Linked DNA regions of Oryzias latipes. The protein of the gene in region 1 interacts with the protein of each later gene in a biochemical or structural test. Links are inferred from orthologs where the notes say so. Each region holds a gene or a part of one and is shown on either strand. Other genes may lie near its edges.

Region 1 (4,393 bases):
TGTGCTGTGTTTAATGTCTGTATTCATGTCTTTGAACCTGTGGGGGAATTGAAAAGCAGCTGAAAATCCACTTCCTGTTTCAGGAAAAACCCTCAAATGTTAAGAAAATGGTGCACAGACTCACATTAATATCTGTTTTGTTGTTGTCCCAATTTTAAATAAATATGTTTTAAAGACTTTTGTTCTTTCAAATCTGTTTTGTTTCAGTTAAAAACAAAAACAAAGTGAACAACTTTAACATCGAGCAAGAAATTTAAGACTTTAGAAGAACTACTGTTGAAGCTAAAAAATTAATTTTTAATTGGATAAGAAACTAAAAATGTCTCCTATCTAAATGTAATATGTTCTTTACAGCTAAAAAGTTTAATCGTTTTTTAGATAAAAACTTCACACTTGATCCAATTACTTTTTTAGCTGAAACATACTTGGACATTTAGTAAAATACTTCTTCAAATAATGTTTTGAATCAAAGTGTTTCTATCCTAAATGTTCACAATAAGTTTTTGTTTTTTTTGAAGTATTTTTAAAAATGTATTTTAACAAAGACACTGATTTTAAAAAAAAACACCACTTGTTAATGCAATTTTTTAGAGCACAAAATCACTTTTCTACTTTAATTAGAAAATTTGCAGCAGAATGACTTTATTTAATGAAAGTCGGTGGAGCCTGTTTATTGCAGGGATGATGGTTTGTATTAACATTAGTTCAGCTTGTTTATATAAAAGATAAAATATTCACAATCTGTCAGCAGAGGCTATTCTAAGTTGTTAAAGCAAAATTGAATTTATTCTGTGGCAAATCAAAGTATTTTTTTTAGGTTGGTTAGTTTTTAGTTTTGATTTGGTTCAGGATCCATTGAGAGTTTAATGTCAAAAACAAGGAAAAACGTGTGATATCATCAGTCTGTTTGTATCATTAAACTGTCCCTGTGATCGTGTGGCTGTGCAAAAGACCGGCAACACATCTAGTGTGTACCCCTCCCCTTGCCCAGCAGTGGCTGGAACAGGCTCCACTTAATACCCCAAAAGATTAAGTGGGTTCTGAAGGTGGAATCTTTTAAAATGAACTTTATCGACAACTATTGCACATACAATACATCATACAAAACAGGAAACTCCATACCTAGTTTCCATACCAGATTTCTACATTGCACGATTTTAGTCAACCATTTTATGCTTTACCATATGGGGGGGGGGGGGGGGGATTTGTTTTAGTTAAGTAACTTTATTGAATTTTCCAGGAGATTGAAATACAGAAAAAAACAATAGTACTTAAAAAAAAAGAAAATAAAAGGCAAATTTTCTCACATTTTAAATGAAACCAACCCCAACTCAACTTTTTTATTAGTTTAGGATTCCATACTTTTATGCACAGTACCATTTCTTAATGAAAAACGCTGTTTTTTTGTTTGTATATTTACATTTGTGTATGTCACATTTAGCTAAGTCAGTTAGGGGACAATATTCGTAGAGCAAATGCCCCCTCCTCCTCCCTCTGACGTCACTGGATCACGTGGCTTTATCAGTGATGCGGAAATGAAAGTTCACTAGCTACAGCGGCGGAGTACAGCTGAAAAAGGTACAAGAACTTTGCCATAAATGCTTCTGTTTTCTTGTGTCAGTACACCGAGCTGTGTCTAATATTAAGCGGGTTGCTATAGATCTTAATCTGTTTTCACTCTGGTGTATGAAATAGCTATTTTTTCCATGTCCTTTGGTAAAATCCAGCTAACAAGCTTGCGGGCTAACAGTTACCTTCTCACGACAAATGAGCCGTTCCAAACGGAAGTGAAGACAGTTCCCCTTCAAATTAAGCATTAGGGGTGAGAAAGGATTTAAGAAACACATTTTAATTAAAAAAATCAAAGTTTTATTCAAAATGTAGGGTTTATTAAATTACTAGCTTGTGTGTTCTTGAAGTGTTAAAACAAATTAAATTGGAACAAGAAACGCTTAATGCGTAGTAATGTAGTTATGTACTGAAATAACCATAATAATTAAGTCATGTCGTTCTCTTTCTTGTATTTTTATTTTCATATTTTAATAGAAAATACTAAATTATCTTTTTTGGGGGAATTAGAGTAAATAAAGGACTTTTTCTTGGTAAGCTTTTAATTTAAAAATCCTCAACGGAAGTTTGCGTGTTGTCTGCCCAGGATTGACGGTAATACTTTCATATGCCTCAATCATCTGCCTTGTTTGTATTTTGTTAGCAGCAGTCACTCAGGGGTACCATGCAGTGACGATAAATCGGTTGAGCAGAAATGGTTCCGTCTTCATCCGTTTAGGTGAAGCTTTGCCGGGGTCCGGAGGCGCCATTGATCCCCCTGGCCGAACCTTTCCGAGGTTAATTCGCAAGGTTGACGGGAATGCGAGCTTTTGTTGTGTTAGCTCCCCTCGGATTGGCTCTGACTGAGACAGAAGTGGTTGTCAAAACACACAGTTGATTTCTGATTAGGACCAACTTTTATCAAGACTCGCCTTGTCTGAGGCTTCTGACTGTGTGCAGAGGAAATGCAGAGTTTATAGTTATTTACTCTGCAAACAATGACGGAGCATCATCAAGGACGTAGTTGCTTGCAGCAGGGTTAATGCCTGCTGTGCTGCAGATTTGTTCGCACTAATAAACGCTGCAGACTGCATCCCTGCATGACTTTGCTCAAGGTGATGTTGATGAGACTTGGCTGCAGCCTCTGACAGGGAAAACAAAACACTTTCAGGTATATGCTTTTATTTTGTAATGTTTTTTTTAATGACAGGTGGAATCCAATCACAACATAATGACAAACTGTTAGATGAGGTGATTAAAAGGTGGTTCAGGGCCACTGGTTTATAAAATAGTTGCACATTGAAAGACAATAAAACACATTTTTATTAGACTTAGACACTTGTGAATATAAAACAGAACATTTAAAAAGTTTTCTAAATTAGAGATTTTTGTCTATAGTCAAAACAAAATGTAATTTATTTATTTACATTGTTGTTTGTGCAGTTTGCACTCAACCTAACAATAATGCATTTTGGTGGTGAGCTGTGATGTTTGCAGGACACTTGGTCCTTGGCTTTGTCCTCCAGGCGTCACATCTCTGCAGACTTTGCACATTAAATGAGTGAAAAATGCAGGAAGCGTTGGCTCTAAAGGATGAGGCTGCACCCCATGATTTGTTCAAACCTCGATTTTTGGGTCACAGTTTTGTTTTTGGTTTAATTTGTTTTTTACAAAACTATGACAAAAAACCTAAAAATTCTTCTTCTTTTCAGTGCCTTCTGGTCCGTGCAGAAGGCACTTTTAGTTTCATTGTACGTATGACAATAAAGACTTATCTATCAATTTATAAGTAACAATGAAGAAAACAACCTTTCAGTTGGCTTACACTGAGCCTGAAAACAATAAAAAAAGAATCATTCTTAAATTTAGCACGATGATTGAGACTTTCAACGTAAGCATACCTGTATGCAGCAGGGATGCAATGATTCACTTTTTGTGTAGTGTTGTGGTCATTTGTGCGACTGCTTGTGTTGCAGAGCTGGGATGTCATGGCAGCTGCCAGCGTGACCAGACCTGGCAGTGCTCAGAGTACAGAAAAGTCTCAGTTGATCCTGAAAGGTCAGTCTTTTTTATTTTTGATCACCTCTTCATAGACTTTGGGTGATTATTATTAGTATTTTTTTGTAAAACAATATTTCAAATTAAAGTGAAGCCAGATTTATGTTTAAATGTTCATTTGTGGTTTTTAAAGATGGGAGCAGATAATAATTGAAGCTTTATAGAATTTTCCAGTTAATTATTATTATTATTATTATTATTATTATTATTATTATTATTAAGTTTCATATAAATGTCTTCCTTGATCTATTTGGGCAAATATGTGAAGCATACGACAAAAACCTGGAATGTGTCAAAGTTAGACTGAAACACTTGCAGATTAATATTTTCTGCTTTTTTTTTGGAAAAACAACAAACAAAATTTTTACCAGAACATATTATGTTATGGTTACAACTTTTTGGTGGCATATTTGATCAGATAGCCTTAAAAAAATGTAAATTGGTTCATTTTACAAATAATTTTCATGTTTTCTCAAATACATTTTTCATGTTTCTCAGCTAATCTATGTGCTGTAAAAAAAAAATCCAGCAATTATATTAAAAAAAAAAACCCAGAATGTTTCAATTCTTATGCTGCAGCTTAAGATGATTTATTTGATGCCCAATTTTTAACTAATATATAATTGCTTGAGTTTTAGCTGTTTATAAAGATAAGTGAAGTTTAAACTTTCTGGTTTATCAGCTGATGCCTCTTTATTGCTGCATTCTGCTCTATTGTATTCGCTGCGGGACGTCCCTCAAGTCATTTTACAGTTCAACAGTTTTCTGGTCTGTTTTGCAAATACAG
Region 2 (4,405 bases), on another chromosome or scaffold:
ATCAGACCCTGAACTGTCTGAAGACTCAGAAGAACTTGATCGCCGCCTCCTTCTGTCTTTGTCGCTCCTTTCTTCCATCCTCTTCTGCCGCTCCTTACTTTTGTCTCTGCTGTGTTGTCTTTCACGTTCTCTGCTGCTGCTCTTCCATCTCTCTTTGTCATATTCCCTCTTGTGTCCGTCTCTGCCCAAACTCCTCCTCTCAGAACTTCTTTGTTTTCTCCTCTCTCGGTCATTGCTTTCATCAGAGGAATATGACTTGGATTTGGATCTTCTTTTTCTCCGGTCTTGAGATCGTCCTCTGCGAGGCTCTGCTTCCTTTGTCCTCCTTATTTTGGGATCATCTAGATCAGGACTAAAACAGAAAATATGTATAACTTAACAATGAGGTAATACTTTCAAAAAGTGATGGGTTACAGGTTTCAACAGACAACCTAAAAGCCTCTGCAACAAGTAATCTGCCCTGTGACTAATTGTTTACGCAGGTAATGGGGTGACAAAGGAAAAACTATGTATATATACTATACCATGAGAGGAAATACTTAACTTTGGAGATTATAAAAAATATAATAACATAGAATAAACAGTTAACTAGATACTGTTTTGGAGTTTTTTGTTAGAATGTTAATTTATGTGTCGATGAAAATCATTTTTAAATGTTAATGAAAAATTGTTGCCACTATATATTATATTTGATATGTCCAGCTCACCTTGATGATCGGCCCTTCGATTTATTTCGCCTGTCGCTCTCGGAGCCACTACTGGGTCCAGAGCGACGTCGATGTCGAGGCCGCCCTCGGGAAGGAGACCCAGCATCGCTGCTGCTGGATCTTCCTGGGCCGCTTTTTCGTTTTTCCACAGATTTGCCGCGACCTCTTCTTCTGTCATGTGATCTAGAGCGGCTCTCTCTGGATTTATTTCGCCGATTTCGGCTCCCGCTTCTTGATTTTGACCGGGACCTACGTCGAGATTTGGATCCCATTACGAACTTGCTAACAGTGCGGGGTCCGAAAGGCACTGTGTCGCGTAAATAAGAGGTAATAGCTTGAAACCGTTTACAATGAAAAATAAATATTGCACAAAAGTTGCAACTGTCAATGCTACAAACTATTAATTGTTGTTTAATATGTTATTTTATAAAACTTAAAAACATTAATACGGTCAAAAAAAATCCACAGTGCGCACGAATATGACGTCATGTTAGCGAGTATTATTGGCAAGTATTTCAAATAGCAAAAATTATTTAATTTTTTTTTGTTTGTTTTAACTACACAAAACATTTCGAACAAATAATAATAAAGCAACTTGAATGTTTTTTCCCCCACAAATGAGCAAAACATTTTGAATAGTTGTTGAACAAGAAGAAAAACACTTGGGGTCCTTACGAAGTCAGGCGAATGTAGTTCATTTTTCCCTCTGAAAACATTTTCGATAACAAAAGTAATACTTTGGTCAAGCTAAACGTTCTTTCTATAGGTAAAATAATTATAAGTGCTTATATTTTCCGCATACTCTGTCTTAAATACAGGAAAGGTGTTTTCTAATGATAAAATGCACAAAACCGAACTACAAATCCCATACACCAGAGGGAGTTGGCTGTTTTCAGAGTGCAGGGGAGTCCTTTCAGCAACAGTCTTTCCTAATCGTGTTCTCAGATGGCAGCACAAACGTACTTTGTTGCTAGTGTCTTCAGCGTTGTAGTTTAGTACCTCTTTAAATTAGAAAACGCGTCTCGCTTCCTAAAGTGCAGTAAGTGTTGTTTCTGTGCTGAGATCATCGGCTACGGCTGGTCGGTAACTCTGATTAGCCACATTAGCCAGCAGCAACCATTAGATTTACGGCTTATATGCGCGGTTAACCTGGTAAATTGACTAAATCTTTAGGTGCTGGTAGGTTATAATGTCTCGGTTAACTCAGCCGTTGTGAGTGTTGATATTCCCACGTTGTTATTGGGATCTTAGAGCAGAGAAGGTATTGTTTGGCTTGTGCACATCAGCATTATAGCCATAGGTTCGGCCTGTGTTTATTGTTTTTGGAGGTAGAAAACGCAGAACTTGTTGTGGGTCGCTCGACTGTTTTATATCAAACTTAGCTTCGTAAACAGAAGCATCGGCTGTCGAATTAAGATCCCCTCAAAAAACCAAACGAAGCAGAATGGCGCAACACGACTCCTCTCATGTCGCCAGCTCACAGAAAGCTCTCATGCTGGAGATGAAGAGCCTCCAGGAGGAGCCTGTGGAGGGATTCAAAATCACTCTCGTGGACGAAGCTGATTTATACAACTGGGAAGTGGCCATTTTTGGACCACCAAACACTCATTATGAAGGGGGGTACTTTAAGGTAAGAAGTGAAAATGGCAAGAAAATATAATGAGCTAAACTCAAACGATAAGACAAATACAACAAATGGATTTCTTCTTTTAGGCTCGCATCAAGTTTCCTATAGACTATCCATACTCCCCACCAACATTTCGCTTCCTCACCAAAATGTGGCATCCCAACATCTATGAGGTGTTGTATCACAATGACTACAGTGTAATATTGTGTTTTATTTGTGTTGTGGCTGCAGCAAATGACCTTCTTTCCACTCTTTTAGAATGGAGACGTGTGCATTTCTATTCTGCATCCACCAGTGGATGACCCACAGAGTGGAGAGCTGCCCTCAGAGAGATGGAACCCCACCCAGAATGTCCGGTCAGCAGATCCCTCACTCTTATCTCCTCTCTGGTCTCCTCCCTTCTTTGTTTTTTGGTTACTTTAATAATTTATTTGAAGTAGAGTCCTGTGAGTATGGGGTTTCTGTTTGTGCCAAAAATATGTTTTTGTCTGTGTCTTTTGGTCAATTGTCTATGTGTACTGAGCGAGTTTATTGAACATTGGTTCATGTCTATGTACTACAAAGCAATATCGTCTGCGTGCCCATGCTTCTTTGATTATTACTTTCCCCATATCGCCTCACTACGTTGTCAGGAAAGCCCTTAGCAACCGTTGCTAGTGTCGTTAGGTACGTCGTTTTCCCATGTCGCGTCGCTTGTCAAATTTTGCCAAAGCCGTCAGAAAGCAAATGCATTGTAATAATCAAACAAGCACGGGGCACGCAGAAGATACTGCTTAGTATTACATAGACATGAACCAATGTTCAATAAACTTGTTCAGTAGACATAGACAGTGGACGCAAAAACATATTTTTTAGCTCAAACAGAACCCCATATTTGAGATCCTCTTGGCCCCTTACGGATGGACTGCTGCTGTATAGTTTTAAATTATTACAATAACTTTGGTTTTTGTGACTTTTATGAACATCAGAGCAGTTTTTGAGACTATAGGTACAAATAAAAACCTTTGCATACACAAGACATACCACTCCTTTTCCACAACTCTCCCATGCCTAGATCCATATGCATCTTTATTTTCCTCATCCGAGCTGGCATCTCACTCAAAACTGTACAACTGGATAGCTCTGATATTGCTCAGTATTTTTGTCGCACTGTTAATGCTTGGTTTGGCTTGTAAAGGGCTGTAAGCTAGCAGGAGAGAGTGTAGACAAAGGGATGATGGGAAGGGGGGGGGTTGGGTTGCTATGCACCAACGGTCCCACATCTCAGAGGTGAATTTCTAATGTACTGCCGCTCTGCAGAAACTATGTCTTAAAAAAAAGTACACAGGTTTTTGGATTATGGCTAATACACGCATAAACATAATTAAAAGACCACTAGGAATACTTTGAAAATAAATCAAAAGATGAGTGGACTTTATAGACCTGGAATTGTGGACTTGAGTTGAGACCACACATGCCATTAATCACATTAGCAGCAGGGGTCATATTCCACCTTCACACTGCTCTGCACACTCAATAATCTTCTTATGCGTTAAAATTTCTTGTAGAATAATCCCTGCTTCTATTGTAATGAAGTAATACAATCAATTAGGAATATTTTATCCTGGATTATTAAAAACGTTAGTACCAAGATTGTAGAATTAAATGGTTAAATTGAACCTTTTTTTGCATCAGAGTTTTGCAACAACATTAAAAAGTTCCACAAAAAGATGTAAGTACTCAAACTTGTTTCAGCTGTTTTAACAGGCACCTTAATTTTTTCTATTGATAGTTATTACAGCAATTTTTTTAGAATAATTTACCGTGACCTGACATGGGTAAACAAAGAATGAAATGGTTCCTGTGAATTAGGATTTTGTTCCTACAAAATAAAAATTCATTGATGTTGGAGTTATGTAATTATCATTTGCTTACACGCTATAATCTCCATAATATGGTTGTGTCACATTTATCTTTCAGTAAGAAAACAATGACCTAAAAAGTTCTGATTATGCGAGAATATGATGTTCCTGGTGTTTCTGATTAAATGATCCACATTCATGTCTGCAACCTTCAGCTTTCAATAAAAGAA
Region 3 (3,677 bases), on another chromosome or scaffold:
TGGCTGGACAAAAATGATGGTACCTCCGTAAAAGACTGAGAACTAATTGCCCAGGGGGTCATGATGAACTCAGGTGTGTCCTTTAATTGACATCACAGCTGTTTTCAAACCCATAATCAGTCAGTCTGCCTATTCAAAGGGAGACAAATAGTCACGTTGCTGTTTGGTAAAAAGGTGTGAACCACACTGAACATGGACAACAGAAAGCCAAGGAGAGAATTGTCCCAGGACATTAGAAACAAAATTATAGACAAACATTGTAAAGGGGAAGGCCAGAAAACCATCTCTAAGCAGCTTGAAGTTCCTGTGACGACAGTGGCACATATTATTCAGAAGTTTAAGACCCACGGGACAGTAGCCAACCTCCCTGGACGTGGCCGGAAGAGGAAAATTGATGACAAATTGAGGAGACGGATAGTATGAACTGGATCCAAAGAGCCCAGAAAACCTCCAAAGACTTTAAAGGGGATCTCCTAGATCAAAAAAGGGAGACTGGAATTTGCAGAAATGCATGTTGACAAGCCACAAAGCTTCTGGGAAAATGTTGGACAGATGAGACAAAACTGGAGCTTTTTGGTACGGCACATCAGTTCTATGTTCGTAAACTCAAAAATGAAGCATAGAACGAAAAGAACACTGTCCCTACTAAGAAACATGGAGGAGGCTCAGTTATGTTTTGGGGCTGCTTTGCTGCATCTGCACAGGGTGTCTTGGAGTTGTGCAAGGTAAAAGGAAATCTCAAGATCATCAAGGCATTCTGGGTAGAAATGTGCTGCCTAGTGTCAGAAAGCTTGGTCTCAGTCACAGGTCATGGGTCTTCCAACAGGACAACGATCCAAAACACACAGCCAAAAACCCCCAAGAATGGCTAAGAGAAAAGCATTGGACTATTCTGAAGTGGCCTTCTATGAGCCCAGATCTAAATCCCATTGAACCTTTGTGGAAGGAGCTGAAACATGCCATTTGGAGAAGACACCCGTCAAACCTGAGACAACTGGAGCAGTTTGCTCATGAGGAGTGGGCCAAAATCCCTGTAGACAGGTGCAGAAGGCTCATTGGCAATTACAGAAACTGTTTAATTGCAGTGATTGCCTCAAAAGGTTATGCAACAAAATATTAAGTTATGGAGATACCATCATCTTTGTGCAGCCCTATTTTTTTTAAATAATTCTGTTAATCAACAACTTAAAAGTAAAAGCTTATTGTGATTATTTAATTTTCAATAAATTTTAATTTATTGTTTCTTTTGAACGTTTCAAGTCATGTCAGTGAGCATTGTGGACTTTCTTTCTTTCTTTAACTGAGGGGTCCCAACAATTTTGTCCACCACTGTAGATGCAAACGCGGCTTGTTGTGCATTGCATACCTCTGTTGTGTGTCATGCATTTGAACCTTCACTGGGAAATGTTACCGGACTTAGGAAGCCATGATGCACAGCTGCACAGACTGTCCTTTTATAAGATCATTATGCACATCCACCTTTGCAAAAGTTCAGATGTTGTTTGTTTTTGTGGGTGAGACGCAGACACGCTGCAGGGGCCAACTTTACAGTGATGCCATGAAACGGGCGGCACCCACAAGGAGCGAAATGCGGTGCCTCAGAGATTGAGTCGTTTTAGTTCTGGGTTGGAGCAGAACTCAGGAAAATAACTAATATTTAAGAAAAAATGTGTTCTTTTGTGGGCCAAAGGTGATTATAAATATGGATATGTTTTACTATAAAAGGCTTAAGAATAGCATGGTATAGGCCCTTTGACATAAACATCACATGACAGTGTTTTGATGATAAAAACTTGGTTAAAAAAATCATTAAAATACATTATTCTTTGCAAAAAAGGCATTGTGGTCTATAATTGCCAATCTAGTGAGCATCAATGCACACTGGCTTTTCACAGAGACTTCTGGGACGTTTCTAGGGCACTGGATTTTGGAATTGTTGATTCAGACAGCACTAAAAAATGGGTAAGGAACAATAAAATGTGTTTTTACGCTCCATCATCAGGATGATTCCTGTTCTCTTCTCCATCTTAAAGAACTGTTTTAGTTTCTTAAGGCAACTTTTGGAGGCTGTGCTCTGACTCACCCCCCCCCCCCCCCCCCGCTTCATCTGGAAACGTTTCAGCTTCATTATTTGACTTCAGGCTTTGTGTATTTTTCTCTCACGAGTCACCTTAAAAACTCCTGACTCGATGAACGTGGAGCAATCTCTGTTTTCCCAAAAGCTTCGCACTAAGTTGCTTATTTTACGCAAACTGGAAAAAAATATTTTGTTTCTTGCAGTAACTCATAGTTCAATTGAGGGCAGATAAGTCATGGGTTTTGGGTTTGTTTTTTACATCATTCTTTTTTTTTGAAGTTGAAATCTAGAGTGTTTCTGCTGCGGGGTTTGATAGATGAGAAGCTCTCATGTTTTAAAGGTTTCATTCATTACAGTTTATGGAGGCATCCAATCATTTTAAGCCAAACAGAGTTTCAGACTGCCTGCAGCTTTTGTTTTCCTGGTCACCTCGTGTGTGAAACGTTCCCTAAAATTCAGCCGCCAGTGGAGTTATTGGACACTCTCCAGAGACTCCCGAACGTCTCGCTTTCACGCGGTTTCTGGAAGAAGGATCGTTTAGTAAAAGGATATCGAGTCTTTGGGTTTTTAACTGAAAAACTTTTCATTGAAGTGAGAAGAAACCGGATCTCTGCCTGTGACAAAAACTGAGCAGAAGTTACACAATAAAGGCGGAAGACTATTTCATCGCCTAATTGGGACTAATTCATTTTATTTTGAGATGCAAAGGATATTTTTTCCTGTTGGTAAATACGTTTTGTCTTTTTCTTTCTTCTTCAGCCCCAATGCTACGGGCAGCGTAGAGACTTTGGATGAGCAGACGGAAACGGAGTCTGTTGTTTCCTTCAGGAGGGAGAGGCCTCGCCACCGGGAGAGCCTGGATCCACACGGTGAGCGCCGGCGCCGCATCCCAACAGGCCTTCCCGCCGCTGTCCTGTCCAGATTTGACGCTGCGCTGCTTGTTTATTTGCGTTTCATCCAGTTTGGGATGAGAAACTTAACCTAAATGACATGACGAAATATCTGTAAAGACTAAAGGGAGCAAACATGATGGTTCTTTTCTTCTGATCTCCTGTTTAAGGTTCTCGCATGAACGGTCAGAGCCGGTTGGAGCGCCACCTGGCGGGGTACGAGAGCTCCAGCACGGTGATGAGCAGCGAGCTGGAAACCACCAGTTTCTGCGACTCTGAGGATGACGACACCATGAGCAGGTAGGAAACTAAAGGGGGCGGAGTCTTTTAACCCATTAACCCTTTATCTTTATAGAACCACATGTGGCTTCTGTAAAAACTGATTTACAAAAAAAAGGTTCTAAAATTTCCTCAAGAAAGGCTTTAAACCTTTTCTTCCAGTCAGTTACTAAATGTAAATGCTCCAAAAAAGGGAACTAAAACTGATTTGACTGCATTTTGTGAGCAATTTCATCCATTTTTGAACAGCAACTCACTGCAATCACTTTCAGTGCATCTAATTATAGTCACAATAGATGAGATGTCATATCTTTTATTGCATTAGAAATATGGTTGATAATAAGAATATTGAATCATTTTTAAAGGTTGTTGTACTAGTCTGCATGGTTCATTAAAGAATAACCTGCTGCATTTGTTTTTTGGGAAAGGAT
Region 4 (4,200 bases), on another chromosome or scaffold:
AGATTGGTGGATAGGGGAGGGGACAGCGCACGAGAGCAGCAGCAGGCACCTCCACAGAGCCCCCCTGACAGACCCCCTTTCCCCCACCCCACCCCTGACTGATTGCTTCCAGACTCCTCCAGGAACGCGCCGCAGTCCCTCTGCTCGGTTTGGGGCTGCAGTGGCGCGCTCCTCCTCGGCGCCAGTTGGGGATCCGGGGGAACAATACGGGGGGGATAAACGACTGATACCCCCCCCCCCCCCCACACACACACATACACACACACACCCCACCTCCTCCCCCATCTTTCTCCATCTCCTCCACGCATGCACACACACCCCTCCTCAACCCCACACATCTCTGCCACCATCATTATCTGCCGCCCACCCCCATGCCCTGCAGCAACTCTGTCATATTAACATACTGCTGACTGCATCTCCTCCCCGGGACTACTGTCTGTCGAGGGAAGTCTGCAGACCAGAAACGGTTCATTTCTGTTTAAAAGAACAATTTCTCCTAAAACGTGTTAAATTTATTGGGTTTGAAGTGAGACATCACAGTGAGTGTTCCCCATCAAGCTGTATTTGTACATTTTTGGCACCAACATTGAGCTAAATTCCAGACATATATAAGTCTGTTATAATTAATATGGATTCCATGAGGGCAATGACACAGAAGGAAGGCTGGCACATGTTAAAAAGACAAGAAAAGACAAATTTGATCCTCAGCTGATGGATTGATCTGCTGGATAAATAAAGATGGGTGGGAACTCTTTGTGTGTGTAGTACCGAACATGTCCGATGGGGGGCAGCAACGAGCTCCCCCGAAGGAGTCAGCACTGTGGCTCACTTCCTAAATTCAACTCCAGCCATAAACTCTCCAAAACAATAAAACTGCCCTGTGTGATCACCATGGCAACAGTGGCGAAAAGCTATGAAGATATATTAAACTGATTCATAGCTTTAACGATGAAACACGTATTTACTGCTTATTCAGTACAAGCGTGAAATTAATGATTGAATATATATATATATATATATATATATATATATATATATATATATATATATATATATATATATATATATATATATATATATATATATATATAAACATTATTTTAGGACTGAAAGCAAACCAAAAAATCTGCAGATTTACTAAATAATTTAACTGAGAAATTTTTTTAATGTTGTTCTTTTTTCTGCAAATATTAAACTTTTGTGGCGTAAACTTTCTCATTTGTGTTTTCTAAGTGCGCGCGCGCGCTTGTGTGTGTGTGTGCACCGTGGGCTCTACTTGATCTGTTGTTTGCGCAACACAATCACATTTCTTTTAAGCGACAGGGTGTCTAGACACACACGTGACCGGGCGCGTCAATGCGCACTGGAGACTGGAGACGGAGCAAGGGCACCCAAACCATCCGCCTCATTTACAGACAGAGAGCCCTTTAGCCCGGACCAGATCAGCTGTCTGCTCGCTTTCCTCCACGCTCAGCCACGGAAACTCCGTGAGAGATACGATTTTGGATTATTTTATCTGGAGGGATTGCTAAAAGCAGGCTCGCTGCGTGGACGCAAAAAAGAAAAAGAAAAACGGAGGGTCTTGCTGTGGCTTTACAAACGCGACTCAACTCCGGTGGGAGACCTGGATTTTTTTCTCCTTGGCTCACTATTTTACCAGAAGACCTCATCCACTACATACTAAAATATACATTTAAAGGTGGGGAGCCCCAGTTCGTGCGCTCGGATGAAGGATTTTGTGGATTATGCTACTCAAGACGCGGCGGAGAGCTTCGCTTTTTCATGGGATGATTGCGCCAGCGTTGAGGCTTAATTAGGCCTTAGGTTTTTCTTATAAGTACCAGTTAGTTGTGACTTGAATAAACATTTCTGACAGCGTTTTTCCCCCCGCTGTAAACCGTCACGGCGTTTTTTTAAAGGGGTCAGTTCACAGCGCCGGATTGCACAAAACTGTAACGCATTCGGGCTTCACGCAGCTCCGCTGCTGCAGGTTTCCTGCTCCGGTTTGGTGTTTCTAAGCTCATAGATGTGATCTTTTTTTTTTTTTGTATTCTGATCGTGGAAACGTTGGCTGTCCCGCCAACCTCGAGCGCTTTCTGGTGACCTTTCTGCAGGAAAAACAGCTTCAGAGACTGGCGCATGCTATAGATTTCCTCTGCTTCTCCAGCTCCCAGTTTTTCCACCGTTTTCTCTCAGGCTGCTTGTCATTGCCTGGACTCGGATCCCGGAATCTTCATGATTTGCGGACACCATGCTCGTTTTTTAGCCGGGAAACCCTCTTTTCGTCCCGCATGTTTAGGACCAAACGATCGGGGCTCGTCCGGCGACTCTGGAGGAGCCGTGCGCCCGTGGAGGGCGACGGGGAGACGGATAGAGGGACGCATGGCTCCGGGGGCTGCTGCATGGGCAAAGCGACAAAAGTGGCCAAGTCCAACGCGGGGTCGGAGGCCGAATTGAAGGCGTTGACCCACTCGGTACTGAAAAAGATCAAAGAAAAACAATTAGAGGTGCTTTTGCAGGCGGTGGAGTCCAAGGGGGGCGTCCGGAGCCCCTGCCTTCTCCTGCCCAGCAAAGTGGACGCCAAAGTGGGTCAACAGTCTTACTCCCTCCCCATGCTGCTCTACAAAGTGTTCAGGTGGCCGGACCTCAGGCATTCCTCGGAGCTGAAGAGGCTGTCGTGCTGTGAATCTTACGGGAAAGCCAACCCCGAGCTCGTTTGCTGCAACCCTCACCACATGAGCAGGCTCTGTGAACTCGGTGAGCTTCAATATTTTCACTAAAAAAAACTCCAAAAAAATGAGGTCCTAGGTGGAGAGAAGGCTGAAAAAGACTGTGCCAATTAACCTAATTCTAATGACAACACCTCTCTGGCACAGTGGTCTTCAGGTTCCATTGATCTGAAGCTGTGCCAGATCCTTTTAGCAGGTTTGGTGGTCGAGTTTGAATAGAAACCTACTTTAATTAATTGTTCCATTTGATTTTTTTTTTCCAAAACTCAAATCCTCCTCAGCTATACGCATTGTCGCGGTTTCAGATTTCCAAACACCCCTGTTAAGAATTTCAACATTTCATAATTGGCATCCAAAGTACAGAAAGACTCTCCAGTCTTGAAATGTGTGTGTTTATGTGTGTGTGTGCTTGCTTGGCGTCCCGGGCCAAAAGAGGCCCGTATCTCAGTTTGTCCTAGACGCTGATAGTGGCCCTTCTGGCGCCAGGCGGCCCCCTGTTTATCTGCCTGCCAATGAAAGGCAATAGCCGCCCGGCCAGCCTCACTGCCTGCTTCTCCAGGCGGAGCTGACAGGCACAAATCAGCCCTCCCCTGAAGAATGACAACTCTTATCAGAAAGTTCAGATCTCTCCTTTGTGTTTTTTTTCTTCCTCTTCTTTTCTCATGCAGTTTTTTTTCTTTCCCCCCCTCCTCCTCCACACAGAGTCTCCTCCTCCTCCTTATTCGCGATATCCCATGGACTATTTGAAACCACCAGGTGAGCTTGATGCATCATTTCACATGGATATTTCCTAAGTCATTGCTTTTTGTTTGTTTGTTTGTGCAATAATATGCATGTTTGAAGTGATGTCATGAGCTGCACTTCACGTTGGTGTCCTCTGCAGGAAATGGTGTTGTGATTTATGGGGAGTTGTGTGTGTGTGGGGGGGGGGCAGAGTGACACGCCTGGCTGGCTGGCCAATTCTAATGTGGCTAGCAGCCAGGGCAAGGCAATACGAAGTTGAGATACCAGCTATGGACTGACTGGCATGTCACCAGGGCTTGTGTGCATGTCTGAGTTGGGGGTGGGGTTGGGGGGGTGGTCTGTCCATCTATCTATTGTGAACCACAGTGCTGAGAGAGACAGACAACAGAGTCTGGAGCCAGTCAGCCTTTATCAGATGGAATGATCAGTAGATTAAGAGTGGGGTTTGCGGTGTGTGTTTGGGAGGGAGGGGGGTCTTTTCTCCACTCAAAGTGATTGCCCCCCCCCTCCACCACCACCACCACCCAACACTTGTTTTCTGACTTGACCCGGGCCCCCGTGTGGCAGCAGGCCACAGCATCGTCATGGGTTACATCCGCTTTGAAGACCAAACCCTCGTCTTTAATTATCTCTTATTTCTGATCATCTCAGCCTCCATGGGCGCAGAAACAGCCCGGAGTTAAACAGCCAACTGTCAGCCAGCCAGTTAGTCAGAAGAAGGAGAAAG
Region 5 (2,388 bases), on another chromosome or scaffold:
TCCAGACCAGACGCTGACATGTGGAGACACTTAAAAAACAGGATTCAGGTTACGTGATCAGACAGGCCTCTTTCCACTCCACCTCCACCTACCTTTCTCTGTTTTCACTACAGATCTGCTTTAACTCCTTTGTCCCTCCACGTTTTTGTCATTCAGTTTAAAAACTGCTTCACATGAATGAATACTTTAAAGGAGCCGACATTGGGAAGCATTTGTGTTGTATCCGGTGAGCTGCTGTCCAGTTGATTCCAAAACTTCTGCATCCTTTAGCTTGATGAGACTTTTAACACAGAGCCAGCAGTTTAATCCCTTTGTTCAAATTTTTTTTATTTCTGCCTTAAAAATGTGAAACATCTGGATCCAAACCCTGAATCATCAAAGTTCAATCCCACTGTTCTCGTTATCAGCTCCAGTCTGTCCTGTCCATTCTGAGGTCAGAGAGAACAAAAGAATCGTAAAGATTCAAGAAGGAGAAAGTTTAGAAAAAGAAGCATATCAAATATAAACAGCTATACAGCAAAAAATGTAAAAGACATGAAGATCAGTCCACTTTGAATGTAGCACATTTGACAAAAGACGCTTCAAGATCAAGCTTCAAATCGTATTTTTTGTCTTTCTGCCTTATTGGTCAAAGTACGGCCTCATTTAAAGTCCCACTCCAATCCTCTTTGATCTATTGTAAAAGTATCCCCACTGCTCTTTTAATGAGGATTTTCAGTCAAAAAAAACAAATAAAACATTAGTTCATTAGAAATTTACCTCTGAATTGAGGGCAACCCCATTGGTGCAAAGTAAGCCCGCCCCTATTTCCCGTCATCCATCTGATTACACTTTCTCCCACTAGCTTACAGCCCCAACCGAACATTGCAGATGCAACAAAAACGGGGAGCAATGTTGGAGCAGATAACAGTTCAGACGAGGAAAACAAAGACGTTCATGGATCTATTTGTCTGCAAGTGGATACATCAGAATGGAGCAGAGCAGGGAGCTTGTTGCCCACTAATTATAGCTTGTATGTCACCTCTACAGGCTTTCGCCAACTGTATTTCTGCTCCTAATTCGCCATGATTACAAACACAACACAATTTACATCAGAGTGGGTCTGCCAATAGGTCATTTTGGAACGAAAGTTCTCAGAAATTGCTAAACGTTCTGTTCTTGAACTCTTGTTTAAGTAACCCTGACAGAGGCTGCAGACGCGCTTTGACGTGGAGAAAGAAAATCAACAGTCACGGGTTACAAATCCAGCTGATGTGTGTGGAGGGCTGGCCTACTGGTCACTGACATGAACCCTTGGCTGGTTGGTCATTGGTTCAAGTCCCAATTCTGACTTGAAAAAGTCATAGTAAAGTAAAAAAGCCTTTGCTCCACTGCTGTAATGCCCTTGAGCAAGGCTCTTAAGAGGAGCTGTTCCGTGAACAGAGGTTGACCCGGGTATCTCCCAGGTGAAAAGAGTTCCGTCTCAATGGGTGTCTCTTATATAAATAAAGGGATAAAAAACAGCTTCAGACAGTGACTCTAGTTTTAAGTGTTCTATGAATGTGAAAAACATCTTATCTTGTTTCCATGATCAGATTCAGTGCCAGACAGAACAAAACCTTGCCGTCTTGTTAAAGCAGTTTTATGACGCTGTGCAATAATAATTGCCATAATTCACAGAAAAGTCGAAGCCTCGTCTTACTAAACAGCAGGAAGTTCAGCTGCAGCTCAGAATAGATCCAGTTTGATTGCATATGCCAAATATCAGGGCTAAAATCGATCAGGTGTTTGTTTTTCCAGGACTTGATGTGTTTACTTACAGGCAGAGCGGCTGGTTCTGCATCCTCACCATCTGTTGTCTGTGTGTGCGTCCCAGGCGGCAGACAGTGACCAGCACCCCCTGCTGGATCGAGCTCCACCTGAACGGCCCTCTGCAGTGGCTCGACAAGGTGCTGACACAGATGGGCTCCCCAAGCATCCACTGCTCCAGTGTCTCCTAGGGGGAGCTTCCCTGCCCCCCCCCCCCCCCCCCCCTTTCACGAAACTGAAAACACAGATAGGAAGAGCAGCCCGAGAACTACATGATGACACGCCTCTCATCCAGCCACTGTTTGTCCCTCCTCGCTGCCAGTAGCACTTTTTTTATTTTCTAGTTGCAAAAAGGGGACACGTGCATTAATGCAGTATCAGTTTAGGAGGATCTCAGCATATTGGTCTTTTTTCTTTTTTCTTTTTTTTTTTGAAGGTCATTGTCATTTTTGGCATCTGATAGCCAGAAAGGCAGAATTATTTTTTTATTTCCTGTTTTTTTTTAATGTCTTGTTTATTGTTTATAGCTGTTGGATACATTTTACACTCAATTATCTTTAAAAAACATAGAAAAAATAAATTGTTGACATTTTTATGCGT

The links.
Region 2: the proteins of wwp2 (region 1) and ubiquitin-conjugating enzyme E2 R1 form a complex in vitro, tested with the Homo sapiens proteins (2 studies listed by BioGRID, with this or other methods). The link is inferred for Oryzias latipes from reciprocal best matches to the Homo sapiens genes WWP2 and CDC34.
Region 3: the proteins of wwp2 (region 1) and dvl2 form a complex in vitro, tested with the Homo sapiens proteins (2 studies listed by BioGRID, with this or other methods). The link is inferred for Oryzias latipes from reciprocal best matches to the Homo sapiens genes WWP2 and DVL2.
Region 4: the proteins of wwp2 (region 1) and smad7 are reported together in a solved structure, tested with the Homo sapiens proteins (2 studies listed by BioGRID, with this or other methods). The link is inferred for Oryzias latipes from reciprocal best matches to the Homo sapiens genes WWP2 and SMAD7.
Region 5: of the proteins of wwp2 (region 1) and mothers against decapentaplegic homolog 3, one has a biochemical effect on the other in vitro, tested with the Homo sapiens proteins (2 studies listed by BioGRID). The link is inferred for Oryzias latipes from reciprocal best matches to the Homo sapiens genes WWP2 and SMAD3.

Annotation. Positions count from the first base shown.
Region 1 is NC_019864.2:27,459,135-27,463,527, forward strand, and holds the start of wwp2 (NEDD4-like E3 ubiquitin-protein ligase WWP2), read left to right. Parts: upstream 1-1,478; 5' UTR 1,479-1,578; intron 1,579-3,524; 5' UTR 3,525-3,536; coding exon 3,537-3,606; intron 3,607-4,393. UniProt on the Homo sapiens protein: E3 ubiquitin-protein ligase which accepts ubiquitin from an E2 ubiquitin-conjugating enzyme in the form of a thioester and then directly transfers the ubiquitin to targeted substrates.
Region 2 is NC_019875.2:22,330,333-22,334,737, forward strand, and holds the start of ubiquitin-conjugating enzyme E2 R1, read left to right. Parts: upstream 1-1,544; 5' UTR 1,545-2,151; coding exon 2,152-2,337; intron 2,338-2,420; coding exon 2,421-2,507; intron 2,508-2,592; coding exon 2,593-2,690; intron 2,691-4,405. Other genes in the region: cactin, read right to left, coding at 1-352, 708-979. UniProt on the Homo sapiens protein: E2 ubiquitin-conjugating enzyme that accepts ubiquitin from an E1 ubiquitin-activating protein, and catalyzes its covalent attachment to other proteins by an E3 ubiquitin-protein ligase complex. In vitro catalyzes 'Lys-48'-linked polyubiquitination.
Region 3 is NC_019876.2:14,943,386-14,947,062, forward strand, and holds part of dvl2 (segment polarity protein dishevelled homolog DVL-2), read left to right. Parts: intron 1-2,836; coding exon 2,837-2,946; intron 2,947-3,137; coding exon 3,138-3,267; intron 3,268-3,677.
Region 4 is NC_019870.2:9,759,833-9,764,032, reverse strand, and holds the start of smad7 (mothers against decapentaplegic homolog 7), read left to right. Parts: upstream 1-1,339; 5' UTR 1,340-2,291; coding exon 2,292-2,757; intron 2,758-3,431; coding exon 3,432-3,485; intron 3,486-4,200. UniProt on the Homo sapiens protein: Antagonist of signaling by TGF-beta (transforming growth factor) type 1 receptor superfamily members; has been shown to inhibit TGF-beta (Transforming growth factor) and activin signaling by associating with their receptors thus preventing SMAD2 access.
Region 5 is NC_019861.2:12,626,413-12,628,800, reverse strand, and holds part of mothers against decapentaplegic homolog 3, read left to right. Parts: intron 1-1,855; coding exon 1,856-1,979; 3' UTR 1,980-2,388. UniProt on the Homo sapiens protein: Receptor-regulated SMAD (R-SMAD) that is an intracellular signal transducer and transcriptional modulator activated by TGF-beta (transforming growth factor) and activin type 1 receptor kinases.